Linked DNA regions of Caenorhabditis elegans. The protein of the gene in region 3 interacts with the protein of the main gene of each other region in a pairwise test. Each region holds a gene or a part of one and is shown on either strand. Other genes may lie near its edges.

Region 1 (6,101 bases), on a different chromosome or scaffold from region 3:
CTGAGTCTAACAATTATTATTATTATATTTAGTTTCATTTAACTTCCAATAACACCATTCTACCAGAGTGCTAGAGTGCTGCTATAGATGTTTGCCTTTATGTAAATGAACTCGATTAATAATGCAAAAAACTTATGGAGGTATGGGGAATTGAACCCCAGCCCTCTCCCATGCTAAGGGAGCGCTCTACCACTGAGCTATACCCCCAGATGACAACAGGTGTCAATTGGATGTTGAGATTCCCGGTAGAACATTCCACGGAATTTAGGTCTTTGCGATTGTCATCAACGACAGGGAAAACTATCGCAAGTCAACATATAGACAGGTTTTTCCGTATAAATTGCATCACAGCGCGCAATAAAGCAAATATAGAAAAGTATCTTTCAAATTGAGTACGAGTTTCTTATTCAATACTGTCATTGGTTGCTGTGTTCCTTCAAAATTTCAACTACACATGTTGTACAAAATAATTATTACAAAAGTAAGAAGATAATAGCATTCTCCGTTAGCCAAGTTGCAATGAAAATTAAATTAAACAGTATGTGCAAATGTTCATAAAAGAATTATAACCAAAAAGCAGTAATTGTAACCACGACGCCTAATATCTTTAAATTAGTTAATTACTGTTAAATGAAATTGGTTATATGATATCATTTAAAACAAAACTTGTTCTACACAGAAAACAAAAAAAATGTTTTCAAAATATTTGCCTCGTTATTCCAATTTTACATTTAAAAAATCAGATAATTATTTGATATTTATTTTCCTGACTTTAGAAAAACTTACTATTAAAACACTATCTAATTGAAAAAAAAACTATTGATTAGAAAAATAGTATGACTGATCAGATCGATGTTTCTTTTACATACTGGGGACCGTTTTTACTGTTTCAATACGTTTTATGAAAGAACTGCCTTAGCCCTTTCCAGATCGAAGTAAATTATTTTTTATTGAATCACATTGTGAGTATCGGTAATAATAGAACTGGAACTTATGCTTTGAGATCGGAAGATAAACAATTATCACGCTCAATTAGTTGTGTGACGAGGTGATTCACTTGAGGATACAGTGATCGGTTGAGCTGCTGATCCAGAAGGTTGGAATGAGGGGTAAAATCCGTTGAAGAAAGTGTCAAATGGAGTTTTACGAGGCGGGGATCCAGAATCTCGACGATTTCGCTTGTGCTGCACATCTGACATAAATTTGGTGAGCATTATGATTTGACAAAAAAAAACCAACTTTCTGGAAGCATTCCAATTTCCAGACATCGTTTCATTCGACAACTCCGACAAATCTTCCGATACCCAGTTCCATCGCGGCTTGCATTATTGCACCGTTGGTTCCTCTTACAGACATATCGTTTGTCATCGCTGATAGTTCTTCTGAAATTTTATGATGGGGTTTTTTAACTTAACAGTTTTCTGTGTAGCACACAGGCTTTATTGAGTCATACTGGTTTGAACTGAAGCATTGACAACGAAATAAAATTAAACAGTGTGTTTTAACATTTACAAGCATTCAAAACATCAAAACAAATCATCATCAAAAATGTAGTAGCGATAATTGTTTTAATATGATACTTTGAAAAAAGTTATAAGATGGTTTAAAGTCAGAAAAAAGTAATCCTTAAAGCTGCGAATATTACAAAAATTTTTGACGCGCTTGACAAATTGATTTTTGTTTCAATTCTGTTCATTTAACTACAAAACAATTAAAATTAACCTTCAATCGCTGCGACACGCAAAGTTTTTAAATCAAAGATTTCAGCTAAGCTTATCTAATATTTTAAAAAACCGTAAAATGTTTTTTTTTGAGACGTTTTCTAGAGTTCTCAAGTCTCAAACAGCAAAAGGCCATCTAAATACACTTGCATTATGAGCTTTCTTACCTGAAAAACGCAGCACATGCGGCGCATGTACGGGCTCCAAAGTGAAGCCCGTTAGCATGAGTTGACAAACACACTTGACAGTCATGCAAAGCACCCGGTGGCTGAAACTCCATTCTCTTTCCGCTAGCATCAAATTTTCTGTAATCAATGTGCCCGTCGATTGGTGGCTGAAATTTTTGGTGTTTAGATTTTGTTAATTGTGAAGAGATTACAGTTCTCATTTCTTGCTTGAAGTTTGTGCCCATGTCAAGTGGTGCCGGATAGAATTGTGGATGAAAAGGTAAAACGTCTTCTCGCATTCTAAACTTATCAGTTGATATTTTACAACTGTCTTTAAAAGTCGATCTACCTGGGCTGCTCAAATGATTTCTCCGCTAATAATGGAGGTGGAAATGTAAATTGTTGCGGTTGTTGTAGCTGTTGGTCTGATTTTTTGAGATTTTTTAGAGTTGAATCGTCTGAAGACTCCTGTTTAGGAACTGCTGTGAAATCTACATTTGCGTCAAATTTCAGTTCAGAATCGTATTTAACAGGGTATTCCACAGACAACACTGGTGGCTTATCCTGGATGTTTTCCGAACTGTGTTTGATTGTACTTTGAACCGTGTTTTCAATGTCCTTAGGTTTTGTAGAGTTTGTATTTGTTGAAAACGGGTGAGGAGCATGTGTCAAATTGAAACCATCCATGGTAGTCATTGAATTGTGCAATGGGAACGACTGTGCAAATGCTTGGCCTGTGAACTGAGATCCGAATGGATTAGGGAAGAATGCGTTTCGTTGGAAGCCATTAAAACGCTGGTACTCGGTAAAGTCTGGGAATTGAAGTCCTGAAATTCAAAAAATGAAGATCAGAAAATAAAGAAAAGATATATATCCAGAAACTTTTATCCTGAGCTGGGTAAGTATTTATTAATTTTCCCAAACTTAAAATATGACAGAGATTGCAGCTCTAGTTTGAAGTATTTCAAATGACCGACCATTTGCCGCATTTTCTCAAGAAACACTAGCAGCTTTATAACGAACCATACTATCTCGCAGCTTTTCTCCCAATTGTAGTATCTTTTAAATCATCTCCTACTTTAACCAACTTTACTCAACTTTTCTAAAGTTTGCAGTGGGCATTGCTAAAGTTGCTCAATTTTGGAATGGGCATTGCTAAAGTTGGTAGAGATTTTTCGGCAAATTGGTGAGTACTTTTAGCAATTACTTTTCGTTTTTTTTTTCAAATTATATGTAAACTGAGTGATAATGTACTGATCGATCCCACTTACAAAAAATTTCAGCCATACAATTACGAATTCTTGAAATTTTTTGACTTAAATGGAAATCAATAAAAAACGAATCACAGCCCTAGTTTTGTTCTGACAAACATCTCACCGATTCTTGGAAAGAAATGAGTCATGAACGGAGCCGTTTGTTGATGTGCAGCATCATTATCAAACTCTCCTGGATTTCCATCAGTCTGTTCACCACTTGGCCGGCCACCGAATGCAGGAGGAAAAGGGCCCCATGGCTGTTGAGGAACGTTGTTGTTCGGTTGCTCCAATTTATCCGTCATAGTCTTGATGAGTTCAGTTGAAATTCTAAAGTTTGGAAAAATGCCGGGTATGCATTGAAAGTGTGGAATCAACATTTGACATGCCATACAATATGAACCGTACATCAGTCCATACGAATAAATTAACAATCCCTCAGTGTCCGGTACTATCATTTTTGAAAGGAAATAGCTGTAATATATTGTAAAAAAATGTTGTTATGCCGTTTTCAAAAGAAAGAGTAAAACCAGAAGATGTCAGTGTTATTGAAATAATTTAACAAGACCTCCAGTGTCAATTTGATCAGAATGAACTTTTGTATCCAAATCTCAAAAGTGCATTCCAAAATAGATATCGTTTTAAAGATCTAACTGGTTCCCGATATCTCAAAACGCCGAGAATCTGTTAGATTATGCAAATTGTATCTACCGTAGCTCAATCAGAAACGGATTTTTGTGACAAACAAAATGGCCAAAATTTGTAGTCGAAGATACAAATGGTTTTAACATGTGAGTAAAATTTTTTAATTCGTTTGGTTTAGTTTTCAGAAAAATGATAAAGATTTTTTGAGAATTGAAAAAACACAAAGAATTCAAAGAAGGTTATGAAAAAAACGCTTTGATTTTAAAACAAAAATGAGAATGTTTAGTTTTATAAGGTAACCTTCATTTCCTTTGCTGTTTTAATAATAAATCGTCTTAAATATTACTGTTAACGGTGATGAAATGTATACTTAATAACTAAATCAGGTTTTCTGTTTAATGCTAAAAATGTTTTGTGGAGCATTTTAACACTGTTAGTAAGCTGATTTTGTGCGCGGTACAGGTATAATCATAACAGATCATAATAATTTTTCATGATCAAAAGTTGGATAGAAGAAGGGACGACTCAGAATTTGAGTTTACAAAATCAAAAAATTCTGAGCCATTACTTTACGATTAGGCTTTTTGGAATTAAGGTTGGGATGAGTCTATAAAGTTTGTATTAACCACACAAGTCTTCTAACACTTGGTAGTTTAAGAATTTCTAGCAGAAAATCTAACATCAACCTAGAAAGAGATGAACGAATATAAACTTGTTCGAACCATGAATGTGTCGATTTATATGATCTCGGAAGAAAAATGTAATATTTCGATACATTTTCTTGTATCTTCCTCCCTATTTGGTTACAATCCAGGATGCCATTTTGCAGTACGTATACTTCAATTCTTATAGTCACACAGACAAAAATTGGCATTTACACGGGCGCACAACAACAAGAGCAATCACAATAATTTGTGGACAAACACAAAATGTTGTACGAGCGGGGACGGTAGCGGACAATAAAGACAGAATGTTCAAAACTGACCGGAAGCTGACCAAACTGGATACACAGTTTTAGTATTGATTGGGATGGAAACTGATATTTTGTTATTCAATACAGCGGAAAATAGTGTAGGAGTCAAATTGGTGATAACTCGAAAACAATCGCAGAAGATGTGTGAAGAGGCGTGGCGAGCACCTACCGTAGGAATAAGGGGCTCAGTGAAGGTAACAACGTCATCTGCCAATCATGAAGTTTCTGAAATAAATTATTTCTAAATTTTACACATTGATTGATTAGAAATTATTAGACTTAACAATCGGAGGTGGTTTTTTTCCCGAAACTTGACATCACCAAACATTTCATAGACTACAACTTTGCACAATAAACTTTAATACCAACGTTTTTGAACATATCAGTTATTCTGATTTTTTATATATTTTTACGTGAACATATTTTTTGTCGGTAGTTTTATTTCACTAAATGCCAACAAGATAGTGACGACAACTTGGAAAATCATATTTATTTTTTGATTTAAATCTACAAAAATGTCAAATTTTAAAAATACTTCGAAACTGTTGGGAGACTTCTGGCAGTAATCAAAAAAAATTTAGCACACTGACAAGAAGGGCATCTAAGGTGTGGAATCAAATAAGCTAGTTTAAAATTATTTTTTTATTGCAATTTCGTTTTGAGTACTGTAAAAATTGTTATAAATAAATTTTGCATTTCAAAATATTTGTCAACTTCTGTTTACATCTTTCTGATTGAAAGTTAATATTCTTCAGCCAATATTGACAACCCTGAAGTAAGTTTTTTTAAGTTTACCAATTACTTTATCAATTAAAAAAAGTGCTTTACCGCATATTTTTGAAAGTTTGTATTCCATCTTTCGAAGTTCTATTTATTATAGCCTATAAAAATTAACAGCTTAACTTCAGTTGCCTATCAGTTATTTTCTTCAACAAATAAACAGTCAGAGACTATTTGCGGAAATGTCAAAATGGCGAAAGCTCAGCATTGTCCACATATCCTCGGTAGTTGATTTGAAATGAGAAAATTGTGCAATTGTCTCACCTGCCTGCTTATTATAATAATCCTTTCAATTACACTGGCTAACGCTCAAGATGAGCAGCACTCCCCTAGGTAATTCATTACATAAAATGTAATACATTTATACATTTAACTTTTCGTCAATGTTCTTTTGAACCAATATGTTCATAATTGTTTTCGAATAAATAAATTTTTGAATCTGTTCCAGAGAAAACGAAGCATCTCGTGACAACTCCGACGTTTGGCTCGTTGTAATTCTGTGTCTTTTATTCTGCTTCGCATTACGTCATATGAACGACTTTTACGTCGGTGAATCGGTTTG
Region 2 (4,481 bases), on a different chromosome or scaffold from region 3:
AAAATTGTGGCCGTTTCCGTGCCAATTATAAATTAAAGTTAAACATATTATCGAAAAAATACGATCGCAAATTTTTCTCGTAACTTATTTTTGATCTACCTTGTTGACTAGGCTCCTCCCCTTCCTTCGACAAGACAGCCACAACAAAATAACAACGGCAACAAGATTATGGGCAAACACGTGGTGCCAGGCTGTCCCATTACAGTTTGATCTACAATAAATGCGGGAATTTTTCGCCCAAAAAAAAAGTGACGTCGGCACGTTCTTAACCATACAAAATCAGTTGAGAACTCTGCGTCTCTTCTCCCGCATTTTTTGTAGATCAACGTAATTCAAGCCAAAATGAGACACTCTGACACCACGTGGGCAGAGTCAACTTCCAAAGGTAGATCAAAAATTAATTATGAAAAAAATTTGCGATCGTATTTTTCGATAATAAGAGCCAACATTTTTCGGCTTTTTATGGAAATTTTTTTTTCAAAAAGAGGAGTATGGTCCATAACTATGCCATCAATACCAAGTCCTTCCAGAACCATCGTATCCATGACCGGAATGTTCGACATGGCCATGCTTCGCCAAATCGACCACGACAAGTATTTCTGCGACGGCCTCCATGTGTTCGAGTGCCCATGCGAGAAGAACAAGGACTTCCCGAATACCGACATCTCGGCTGCCTGCCATCTTTACATGGATGCTCAGCAGGAGATTCAAGACTCGGGAATCTTCGACTCAACAGATGACTTTACATTTGTCGTTCAACCATTCTTCAATGGAATCACAGTTCCACCACTCAAGCCCGACGGAGAAGTCAATCTGGATTGGTTTGCACCGGATTGCTTCCATTTCTCAAAACTAGGCCACGCCAATGTTGCCAAGCACTTGTGGAACAATATCGTTCAACCAGTCGGATCCAAGAACCATCAAGTCAATCTGTCAGATCCTACCATTCCACTAAACTGCCCAGACACCAAGTGCCCATTCTTCAGAACAACTAAGAACAGTGTTGACTGCTCGAAATATATGACTGCCTAGACTGTAGGAAATTGTGTTTGTGTGTGTAATTTGACGTACTTATCGGGTCTGCAATAAAATGTTTTATCGTGTAATCTTTAATTTTTAACGTGTGAGACATAAAAGAAAGAGCACCCTCAATAAAAATATCCACGTGGAGTACACAATATAGCTATCAATAGAGCGAGTAAATATTTTTGCAATAATTATTTATTAGAAGAATGGAGATCAAGGTAAAGGAAGAGATCTTGATTTTGAAAAAAAGATACTGGAAATACTAATTGTTCACGGGATTTCATAGAAGGGGATATATCACGACTTTTTCTTTGAAAAATAAAAACAACATAAAATTATTGCGGCTTCACAATCTGATCATCCGGTATTTCTCCAGATCTTTCCTTTTCCGATTCGATCTTCTTCCACTTGGTACGCCGGTTTTGGAACCAGATTTTCACCTGGAATTTGAGAAATTTCAGCTATGCGTTGAGTGCCGCGTTACGTGCTGCGTTGCGTGCTGCGTTGCGTGCCGCGTTGCGTGCCGCGTTGCGTGCTGCGTTGCGGGCTGCGTTGCGTGCCGCGTTGCGTGCCGCGCTGCGTGCCTACCTGCGTCTCCGTGACATCCAATCGTTTTGCAAGCTCACTTCTGTCACTACTTGACAAATACTTTTTCGCCTCAAACTGCTTCTCCAGTTCGAATACTTGTTTCCCGGAAAATGTCGTCCGCGCCTTCTTTCTCTTTGTTTTTTGACATTTTTCTATAGGAGACTCTTTGGCTTGGTCGAGGCTGGATTCTGAAAAAATATTCTTAACGGCTGATTATTTTTCTACGTGTAGCATTTTTCCGAAATTCATTGAACAAAATTAGTAAATTTCCAAAAAATTTTTTTTCCAAAATTTCGAAAACATTTTAATTTTTTTCAGATTTTCTAATATTTTAAAACAAAAATTGAGAGTAAAGGAAATAAAAATTGTGTCTTGTAATTTTTGTAATTTTTACTCAAAAAAAGGCCAGTGAAATACTATTACAGAAAATACGAATCGATGCACCATGTCAAAAAGAATAGTATTTCACCTCAAATGCACCATGCCCAAAACTAGTCTATTTTTCAACTACAAAACTTCATACACCTAATCCAAAGAAATCAACTTACTGCATCTTCCAAATTCATCAATTTCTCCATTAACAGTTGGTAAGTCAAGTATATCCTTTATCAGGTGACTAGTTCTTCTCTGAGGCTTCACATCAGACGTCAACAGTGCAAAATAGGGTTGAAGTAGTTGGAAGAGCAAGTCAGTTTCCATTTTGCACGAATGAAAAGAACTTCTGAGAGACTTCTCTATACAGTAGGTCTCGAGGTCCCCGCCTTCTCTTCAATCAAATAATTGAAATTCTGGACTCTCGGGGGACTTTTGACGGTTGACGACGACGACAATTTGCCAAAGTGGTCGACAATGATTGCGCAATTGGTGTGGAAAGAAGAAGAAGATGGGTGAGTTCTGAGATGATGACAAAAAGAGCATGAGCCAGCAAATTGAATAAGAGACCGGATTTCGAGAAGGAGGAGGGGGAGAGGAGGATTGGTGGTAAGGGATGATACTTGATGCAATTGAGGGAATGAGTTTCTCATACTTGACTATTAAATACTTTTCTTGAACTTAAATATTTGAATTGAAATTTTGGAGTAGCGGAGGCACATGTGATATTATTGTGCTAATTTGTAATACTTGGACTTTCAAATATAACCTCAATTATTTGAAAAAAACCTTTTGAATAGACCAGCAAGGTTGATCTACAATTTTTCATGGAAATCGAATTAATTTTGTAAGGATGTCTACTGAGTATAAGCTTATTGTTAGGCTTAGGCTTAGGTCTAGACTTAAGGCTACACTTAAATTTAGGCCTAGGCTTAGGCTTAGGCTTAGGCTTAGGCTGAGGCTTAGGCTGAGGCTTAGGCTTATGCTCAGACTTAGGCTTAGGCTTACGCTTAGGCTTAGGCTTAGGCTTAGGTGTTGGCTTCAGAATAAGCTCAGGCGGGGGTGAGGGAAGGGTAGAAAAAAAAGAAAGAGAAATTTCCAGAAATTCACAAAATCCAGAAAAAAACATATCTTTCACAAGTTTATATTTTTATAGCCTAAAAAATTACTTTTAAAATGAGGATATGCAACCCGCACGCAAAAAAACCTTTTTTTTTTTGAGCAATTTCACGGCTCTTTTTTTTTTAATTTAAAAATACAATAAAAAAACCAAAAAAATTTTCCGAGCCCAAATTGCTCCCAAATGCTCTAAATTTCTTTTGAAGTTTGATATATTCCTATTAGAACTTGAGGAAAATGTAAAACTAGAGAAACATAATACTACGCATGTTAAATGTAAATTACTTACTTTTAAAAAGTCGTACGTTATTTTGGAAAGTTTGAGGTTTTTGCATTTTTTCCGTAATATCACTGAACACTTTTATTTAAATATCATCAATTATCGGAAGTTTATAGGTTGCAGGAGAAAAAATATATTCTAGCGGGAAAATGAAATGAGACGGGGGGACATTTTTAACCAAAAAAAAATCAGAAAACAGTTGGTAATAAAATTATTCCAAGAAAGTATAAATTCATGACTTCCATCTTGGGAACATTCTTAAAAAATGTCAACGAATAAATCTTTGTGGCAAACAAACTTTTTCCATAAATGTTTCAGACCTTATATAGCGGACATGAAAGTTGATTGCTTATTTGATATGTCTTGAGTTTATTTTTTTTTATTTCAAGCGAGGGGAGATTTATTTGCCTAGATATATATATAATTATTACTGGAACGAACTGGAAAAAAACTTGGGATCAAAAAAATCAAAAATTCAAATTCAAAAATTCAATTTTTCGAAACTTTTTCTACAGCTTTGTCGAGAAGCAACAGACAAATACTTATAGCTAAAATTTTATTAATATTCTAGTTTTAGTCATGGTGAATCGAGAATTTGTCAATTTCCATGTGGTATCTTAAAAATAAACCGATACACGTGGTGTCAGGCTGTCTCATTGCGGTTTGATCTACGAAAAATGCGGGAATATTTTTCCAGAAAAATTGTGACGTCAGCACGCAAAAATTAATAAGGGTCTAACCAAAAAAACTTGAATCTTGGAAATATTTTTAATTCACCCTAAATTTTCCCCTGATTCCGAATATCTATGTGAAAAAATTCAAAAAAAATTTCCTGAATTTATATTTAAGCTTGAAATCTTTCATAAAAATTTTTTTTTTTTAAATTTCATTTGTACTCGCATCACTTTTTTCAAACTCGCGCCCAAATAAATTAGCGCGCGCGTGCATCGTTTGACTTTTTTTCGTTTAGTTTTTTTTATTTTAGCCGAATTCAATTTTTTTAAAACCAGTTTCATTCATTTTTGTCGGTTTTTTTTTTCTGAAAAAAATGTAAAAAAACGAAAAAAAATCAAACAATGCAAGCGCGCTCCAATGC
Region 3 (9,001 bases):
TCATGAACCCACCATTGGTGTCGTGTGTGTCTATGTTTCAATTCCTTTGTCCACTTGAACAAATTCAAATTTTTTCCGGGCGAAATTCTCTCATTTTTCCCCCTCCACAACACCAATACCACTCAACTCTAAATAATCGCTATCCTCGAGGGGAGAAAGGGAACACTCGGATGTCCATTTGACTCTCTTTTTTCGAAGAATCGAGTGTATGTGGACAGACGAGAGAAACGTTTCCTCCCATCTGGCTCTCGCAGTTTTTTATTCTATTTATTGTATACTTATAAATATGAACGATGACGCTCTCCGTTTTTGTACGGGGGGAAGTGGGAGGAGAGAGAGTGTCCTTAGTACTCGCTACAGGTATTAGAGACATAGAGAAATATGGAAGACAATTGGGGGAAGAGGAGACAGAGGATTGTAGGTCAAGAAAGGTCATTGTTGGTTTACGAGTTGGTACGGGATTTTGCTGTTTTTTGGCCTTTAAAAAAAAATGTTTTTGAAATGGTTAGATGAGTCACTCTGAAGAATTTTCAGTTTTAATTTCAAAATAAAATTTAAAGGGGGAGTAACCACTTAGGATTCTGTTTAAAACCAATGCGACCAAATATCATAGAAAAATTTCTCTATAATTTTTTTTGATACTTTTTTGCATATTCGAATTATAATTATATCAAAAATTCGTATGCGAGCATTTAAAACATAAGAATTGCTCTAATTTTCTCGAAATATAAGCATTTTTATTGTTCGGTAATTTACCAAAACTATGACTGAAAATGTTACAATTTGAAAAAAAATCAACATTATATAGACAATATCCCCTCCACTAGCTCTATCTTTAAAATAATGGCTGCTATCACACACCATCATAACCCAAATTTTATAGGCTGACATATAAACTATACCAATATATCAATACCAATTTTGTAAATTCATTGTCCCTACCGTAATCACCTATCATTTATCTATTGTAATTGCTCATTTCAAAAGTTTAATGGCTGGTGTGCCTGGTACCGGACACCCCGCCTTTGTTAGGAATTGCGAAATTTGTTCAAACTTTTTTTTTCCGCTATGCACCAAATGTTTCAGCTGTTGTTTATTGTACATTAAGTAAATATATACATAGATATAAGTTTTGTTCAAGCTGGCATCAATTACAGATGTGCATATTTTGGTTGCCTGAATTTATTCGAAATAAAAAAAATCTAATACTTTTTTGGAGGTTTAATAGAGATTTGATAGTTGAAAAATCTATTTTGAATGTCCTACCAAATATTCATATACTTTTTAATTTTTATCTAAATTTTTCAAATCTATTACTATTACTTAACTTTTCCCCTTTTCAAGTATTTTTTTAAAATTAAATGACAACTTCCATACATTGAAAAACTTTAATCAAAGCTCACAGCACCTCAATTCATCAGTCAACCATTCCACTGACCCTTTATCAACCTTATCAGTTTCAATGTGAGGTGTCAGCAGGTGCTGGTCATTTTTCAAAATGTTCGTTTTTCTCTCCGTTCCCCTCCCCCTTCTCGTTCCGATTTCCCAAACTTGTAAACACTTTTTTAATAAATTTGATGCACATCTGAAAATGGTGTCAGTGTAGATGCGAATCATATAGTTTTTGAGAGTATTATATGGTTACACAGCTGGTTCTGATGACCAGCGGTGGCAAAAACAAAATTCTGGGCATTTCAAACTAATTTTAAATTCCAAAAAATTAAAGCTGTGTTTTGTTGATGAAAGAATAAAGTTTAAAAACGTTTTAAAAAAGTTTTTGGATAGTTTCAGAAATTGAAATAACTAAAACTTAAGGTTTTTTTAAAGTTTTAGATTTGATACCAGGTGTAATAAAAAAGTCTATTGGAATTTTTCCGATATCAATTTACGCAGAAATTCCAAAAAGTTTGCACCCTTTATTTGCCTGACAACTATCTCTCCCAGAATCCAAATATTTTTCTATTATTCATGATCCTATAGAAAATCGTACTTCTTGATTTCCCGACAAAACCAAAATTGCCAAAAAAAAAGAAACCAAAGCTGCCCAAATTTTCCTTGTACCCCAGTTACCTTCAGTTCTAAAAAATCCAAAGCTTGGCGCGTTCGCCTCTGTGTGTAGGTCTGATACCATGTTTGCTCATACGCAAAAACCAGAGGGTGGCATTCGTTTCCTCCCATTTTCCCCACTTTTTTCCAATTCGCCTCTTCCTCCTCAACTGCCGCGCGCTCAACGCAGGCCAGGCAGTGGAAACATAAAAAAAACGAGCGCTCTTTCTCTTCCATTTTTCTCCCGATCTCTCCGCCTCGGAGACGCAGACAGGTTGGCGTGGCTAGCGGTGCCAGGCTGGACTCGGCCGGGTGCCGACCCCCCACCTAACACCCTCGCCTGCAGTCTCTCCGCTGTTCACACTATTTCTCGGGGTTCTCTCGCTTCTCGGGACGAGAGCGGAGTACGAGGCCGACACAGACACAGACACAGACTGAGCGTTTTTTTTGCTGACGCTGCAGCAGCCGTGGAGGCCATCTTGCTCCGCGTGTGTGTGTCTACTACCCTGCTAACCTACTTTTTTGACTTTTTCATCTTTAATATGATCTAGATGTTCGTAAATTTAACCCATCTTGAACTTCAACATATTTTATTTTTGTCATGGCTCATTTCCGAATTGTTATGCTTACAGAAGCCCTCCCACATACCCAATACCAAAGAACCGATACTTTAGCACACTTCGAACATGTCGAGCTCGGACCTTCTGAAAGGTAAGACATATTAAAAAAAAATAGGTTTTGACGGTGTTCTAGGACAATTAAAAAACCTGAACATTTTTGCAACCTCATTTTTCAACTTTGAGGGCTTACTTTTCAGTTATCGTTTGTTCTATCAAACAATTGTCAACTGACAAAATAATTTTTAGGTCTTTTTTTATCTTTTTGAATTAATTATTTCTGGATATCTTTAAAATGAATTAAGATAAATCCTTTTAAAGTAGTGGAGTGCAATCCTTGAAGATTTACTACTAAACTTTTTTTTAAAAATAAAATCGAGTTATCATTTATTTTCAAACATATATTTGCATTTCAATATCGATTTTGAAATTATGAAGTTTACTACAGTAACCCTGCAACTAAAAGTAAAATGACAAAATTTAATATTTTGGAAAACTGTTTTTCAACGATTCACAAAATCTCTACTGAATTATTGAAGCTCATTCAGAAATTACTACTGTAATCCCACATCTGATCTGCAGGTTACATATCAAGAAGGTTACTGTACCTTGCACTTACTCTACCTAGTCTAGGTGTCTAGGTCTAGGTCACCATCACACACACACACACAGACAATTTCAAAACATGCCGTGGTGTCCGGCGGCAAGCCATGAAGTGACCACTCACTTTCTGATTCCTATCTTCTTGCCTCAATCATCATGTCTGCGTCTCAATGTCCTATATGATCACTCGTCTCGTTCGCCTATCTACTTACACGCTTCCCTTGAAAAAGTGCATCTTTTCACGCGCCCAGATTCGCTCCTTTCCTCATTGTGTTTCTTTTTTCTCTCGACCCACAATCACGGAAGCTCGTTTTGGTTTTTTTTTCTTGAAAGAAGGAACGTCGATGTAGATGCTGGCAAAGCAAACATTTTTGTGTCTAAAAATATTATTTTTGCGAAAAAAAGTTATTTCAGATTTTAAATGTTCCATTTTAAAATATGCAATTCGTATTTCCATATTTCCACTTTGACAGCTTATATCTCGGTTGTCTTTAGTTTTATCAAAAACTGCCAACTGGTTTTATTGGTGCAAAATGTTCCTCCTTTATTTTGATAATAAAACAGTTTGTGTATGCTTGTAGGCATGTAGGCAGAAAGGCGTAAGTACGTAGACCCAATGTTCCTTCTTGTGGCTTTAACTTAAAAAAATTAATTTAGGATGATTATTTAGACTTTTTTAAAAAACATTTACAAAATAAATTTGATTAAAAATAAAAACAAATTTCAGGCGAGTTTGACGGGCTCAACTCGGAGCACTTTAACATGATGCAGTACTTAACTCAAGATACTGACGAAGACGATGGCTCAATGGTGTCCCCTACGTCTTCAGCAGATAGCATGCATCAAAATCTAGGAGTTCAACAGCAACAGCAACAAATGCTGCAAGCACAGCAACGACAAAACCAAAATGGCATTTTTCAGGTTAGTTTCTTATTCTTTTCATTTGATGAAATATCTCTTCGGGATAAGAAAAAACGGAACAAATGTTCTAATTCTTCTATGTTACGTAATTCACTAATTGATAGAAAAGATTGTGGTGAAGAGGCGAAGCCTTGAACAAGAATAAGATGAAGAACAAGAGATAACCTTGAGAACCGATTTCCCTTTTTCCAAAAGTGTCTAGAGACAGGGGTTTTATAGGGTTTAAATCGGCAGATATGGACATAAGAAGTAATTTTGGTTAAATAACTAGAAGTATTGAAAAAAAAACTACAGACAGAATGGCGTCATTGTGTGCTGAAACATACAATTAATGTGTGAAATTTCAGCCCCGTCGATTCCCTGAATCTCCAGCAATGACGGATCCTTGCGGAAATGTCTCTTCATCGTCATCATCATCACATCATTCGGACCCAATGTTCTCCCCAAATGAATTTAACGGATACGCTGGAGCCAATGATAACGGAAATCAAACAATGAACAATATTCAATCTCAACAACTCAGCCAGCAACAACATCAGCAGACACGTGGCGGAAATCTTATGATGCCCCAACAATCATCGATTCACGCCCAAATGCAAAACATGAATGCTCCACAATTCTGGAGCCAACCGGGAACTGCTGCAGTCAATCAACCTACAAACACCCTGGCTCAACTCAACCTTTTCAACATTATTCGTGGAGGAGCCGACAGTGGAATGCCAAGCCCTGTTTTGGAGATGCCACGTAAGAGAAGCCGACTTGACACCCCGTGTGAAACGCCAAGAATCGCTCCAAGCTTTGCTGGTATTGACGGATTTCCAGATGAGAATTACAGTCAGCAACAGGCAATCAGATTCTCAAAGTTTCAAGAAGAACAGTGGAGTCCACTGTATGACATCAACGCTCAACCGCTACAACAACTTCAAGTACATGTTGTTGCTGATAAGGGATTCAACTACAACTCAAATGATAATTGCTTTGTGAACCAGAAGAAAAATCATTTCCAGGTATGTAGATATATAGGAGTTTAAAATGTATTATTATTTTATTTTCAGATCTCTGTAAACGTGGAAGCTTCCGATACAATGCCACCAAAGTACGTTAACTTCAACAACCGACTCGTTCCAATTCGTGACTTCAAACTTTCGTTCTGTGGAGTTAAAGCTGAGATGCCATCGTCTGAAATCACAATTCGCCAATCTCGAGCCGATCGTAAACCACATACACATACTCCTGTGCTCTTTGAAATTCAAGAACGAAGAATGACAAAAGTTTGTGTACCACGTCTCCATTTCTCTGAGACCACCCTTAACAACCAAAGAAAACAAAAGAATCGTCCAAACCCGGAGCAAAAATTCTTCCTTTTGGTTGTCAGGTTATTTGCAAGCATTGATGAATCTGAGCATGGAGTTCTTATTCAATCATACGCATCTGAGAAGGTCATCGTTAGAGCCACCAATCCAGGAAGCTTCGAGCCACAAGATACGGACATTGGATGGCAACGAAATGGAGGAGCCCTGTATACACAGGGAGCTGTCTCCGTCGGAACTGAACATCAGGTTGAAAGTGCCAAGCTTACAGTAGCTGGGGACATTTATATGAGTGGCCGAATAATCAATCCATCCGATATTCGACTCAAGGAAGCAATTACTGAACGGGAAACTGCTGAAGCTATTGAAAACCTTCTGAAACTCCGTGTTGTCGATTACCGCTACAAACCAGAAGTCGCAGACATCTGGGGACTTGATGAGCAACAAAGACATCGCACAGGACTGATTGCACAAGAGCTTCAAGCTGTGCTTCCTGATGCAGTACGAGATATTGGAGATTATTTGACAATTGATGAGGGACGAGTGTTCTACGAGACTGTAATGGCAACTCAACAACTCTGCAGAATGACCGGAGACTTGGACAGTAAGATCGATGAAAAAGTTGCCGAGATTAGCAGACGATTGAATGAATACGCAGTCCGAAAGAAGCTCGCTAGCTCAATGGCATCTAACCTCAACGGAGACAACAAGAGTCTCTCATACTCAAGATGCTCACTCACATCAACTGCAACCAATGCCACGTCACAACCAAAGAGAAGCAGGAAGCATCGTGCCATAAAACAGGCACAATCCTGTGGAAGCCGACTTAGTCAAGGAACAGTTGTCACCTTGGTTTCCATTATGGCCGCTTGTCTTCTCGCCATGTCAGCTCTTTATGTCCTTGATTGGCATAACCGAAACTACGGATATCACCAACATTTCGAAACGAACACACCATCCACTAAAGGAGAACTCGCCAATCTTGTCATATCACCAGGTTAGTCCAAATTTCCGAGCTTCATACAAAAATTCATGATTTTTCAGCCAACTTCATGCCCTCATTCCAACCCGATGCCCCTATACTACTTGAAAAATGCTTCAATCCATCTTGTAAAACATATTGTTGTACAGATACGCCGCCCGTTGTAGAGGACAGTAGAGCCATCGCTACACATGTAAGTTTAATCTATTTCCGTCACGAGACTATAATCTTAGATATTCAACAATTCTAAGCCTTCACTGTACATTATTACAGGGCCTCGACAATGGCGATGAAGTATATCCAGAGAGTCCATCCAACAGAACCAATGGCATCGCACGTGCTCCAAACCTTGAGCACATGGCTTTTGAAACTGGAGTTGAGATTAGAATCCCTGCACTGAATGTGACACTTGACCAGCGTTACTGTGTGGAACGCAGTTGTAACAAACGAAAAGGAATCTTCAATGTCTTTGTGCCAGTGTCAAGATATATGCCTGATGTTGCTCTTGAAATTGAAATTAAGTAAGTTGGCACCTTGAATTTTGAATTTTTAAACTTTTAAAAAATTATAGAGCTCCAATTTCAAAAGTCGTGAGCAACTGCGGAGCGTTCCCTTCAACAGAGTTCAACCACAAAGTTTGTCCGTTGAGCCGAACTCAACAAAGCGAATCACCGGTACCAACTTCTACAAGAGTGAGTTTCGCCTTTTTAAACTATGAAAACTATTCAAATTTCAGCTATTTGACAATATCTTCGAGTTATCTATGGGTTCCTTCATCCAATCAGCCTACCGGTTCCGAGTCGGCTACTCCACTGAAACCTGCTTCAGCGAGGATTCAAATGGATCCTACGAGGAGTACAATCTGATCTTTTATCGCATGTGTAAGTGACTTCATGAATTTTTAAACATGAATTTAATAATGTATTTCAGGCACCCTATCATCTTCATAAGCTAATGCTTCATATATCATTTTTGTTTGCGCCAGTGGGCCGTTGCAATTCTTTCAAACCTTCTTCCAAAAAATCCCTCGCCCAGAAATGTCTTTTCTCTTTTTCTCTGACTCTCTGTCTCTCTGTCTGACACTCATTGAAAATTGTTTTATTATAATATTATTTCTTTACTTCTTCTCATTCAAATCTCATCCACACCGTTCAGCATTTTATATGAAACCACTTGTGTCCAACCAACATGTATCCCCCCGGTTACAATCGTGTATACTCTAAAAACCCCGTCGCCAACTTTTCAAATTTTCAGCCCAGTTTTCTTCATCCCCCAACTGTATTTATTTTCAAATCTATACCTCATCTCCTCTCATTTATTCCCCCTTCTCTTGTCTCATGGATTCCAAACAGGCTCTCCCGAATTGATCAGCCAATATGTAAAAATGTTGAGTAACCAGGACTTCTTCACTCAGATACAACCAATCTATGTCGACGAAACACTTTTCTTGAAATTTATGTACTTTTTAATGGATTTTTTTTTCAAAAATTCAAACAACAACACACACAAAGACCTCTATGAAAAACTCTCCCTGAATGATATCGATAGGTACATTTTTTCATTTTTTTCCCAAATACTTTATTCTTTTTTCTAAAACTGCAAAAAAAATCACGAAAAAATATTTATTTCTTCATTTGTTGATCAGAATCTTTTTTAACCTATTCACTTTAATCTTTTTATGCCCCCGTCCCCGTACTCTGAAATGTCGTTTCTTGTCCTTTCATTTCACTAATGAATAAAATAATTTCAATTTTATCCAAGCCCATACATATAAAGTTTAATAAAATCAGAGAATTGAATCCGTTTTTGACCAAAAAGTAGCAAAAACCCTGACCTCTATTTTTCTAACTCCACAAAAAAATCGACAAATATACATTAATGGAAAAAAACCTTAAAAGTTATTACTTTAATAAATTAATAAATTCTTTGAATCCGATTGTACCTGTGATGTTTTTCGGAAGCTTAGATTTTTTGGAATATGATCATTTTGTATTTCAAATAATTTATTTCACATTTACATACATTAATAATAATAATCTAAAAATCATCTTCTACCATACTCTTAAACATTTTTCGATGTGAAGTCTTAAACTTCAATAATAAAAAACATCGGTAATATGCGGGTAACAAAAATAAACAAAACAACGAGAATAAGGAATAACTCAATGGAGATTCATACTTTTCACAAATATATTTTGCATAAAAAAGTACCATTGCTGTCAGTGCAGCTGCTTCAATTGATGATAATGGCCGTAAAACAGAAAAGAATCGAACTCCAATGGCTACAAGATCCAGAGTGAAGCCGATGAAAAGACATAAGAGAAAAGTGGTGTACCAGTCATGAAGATTTTTAGAAAAGAATGGAAGAATAATCACATATGGAATTGTGATTATAAGTACAAGTTTTGGAGTTGTACTTGATTGTTGTTCAGCTTGTTTATCATGTTCCTCTTCTTCTTTTATCTCCATTAATTCTTCAACATCAGGTCGAATGTCTCCTTGGATTGGTGAAATTGACATTT

The links.
Region 1: the proteins of myrf-1 (region 3) and odr-7 interact in a two-hybrid assay, tested with the Caenorhabditis elegans proteins (one large-scale study listed by BioGRID).
Region 2: the proteins of myrf-1 (region 3) and ceh-9 interact in a two-hybrid assay, tested with the Caenorhabditis elegans proteins (one large-scale study listed by BioGRID).

Annotation. Positions count from the first base shown.
Region 1 is NC_003284.9:12,458,041-12,464,141, forward strand, and holds odr-7 (Nuclear hormone receptor family member odr-7), read right to left. Parts: upstream 3,618-6,101; 5' UTR 3,600-3,617; coding exon 3,266-3,599; intron 2,716-3,265; coding exon 2,238-2,715; intron 2,189-2,237; coding exon 2,101-2,188; intron 2,056-2,100; coding exon 1,889-2,055; intron 1,383-1,888; coding exon 1,240-1,382; intron 1,193-1,239; coding exon 1,029-1,192; 3' UTR 939-1,028; downstream 1-938. Other genes in the region: T18D3.5 (uncharacterized protein), read left to right, coding at 5,778-5,872, 5,988-6,096. UniProt on the Caenorhabditis elegans protein: Required for the function of one pair of chemosensory neurons called AWA neurons that are involved in chemotaxis to volatile odorants. Acts in a pathway that specifies olfactory neuronal fate.
Region 2 is NC_003279.8:564,079-568,559, forward strand, and holds ceh-9 (Homeobox protein ceh-9), read right to left. Parts: upstream 2,511-4,481; 5' UTR 2,314-2,510; coding exon 2,163-2,313; intron 1,803-2,162; coding exon 1,615-1,802; intron 1,467-1,614; coding exon 1,362-1,466; 3' UTR 1,206-1,361; downstream 1-1,205. Other genes in the region: Y65B4BR.1 (Lipase_GDSL domain-containing protein), read left to right, coding at 531-1,032.
Region 3 is NC_003280.10:10,496,219-10,505,219, reverse strand, and holds myrf-1 (Myelin regulatory factor homolog 1, N-terminal), read left to right. Parts: upstream 1-2,678; 5' UTR 2,679-2,732; coding exon 2,733-2,757; intron 2,758-3,993; coding exon 3,994-4,187; intron 4,188-4,534; coding exon 4,535-5,194; intron 5,195-5,242; coding exon 5,243-6,494; intron 6,495-6,541; coding exon 6,542-6,672; intron 6,673-6,752; coding exon 6,753-7,000; intron 7,001-7,050; coding exon 7,051-7,171; intron 7,172-7,215; coding exon 7,216-7,360; intron 7,361-7,409; coding exon 7,410-7,429; 3' UTR 7,430-8,233; downstream 8,234-9,001. Other genes in the region: ZK666.12 (uncharacterized protein), read right to left, coding at 8,517-9,001.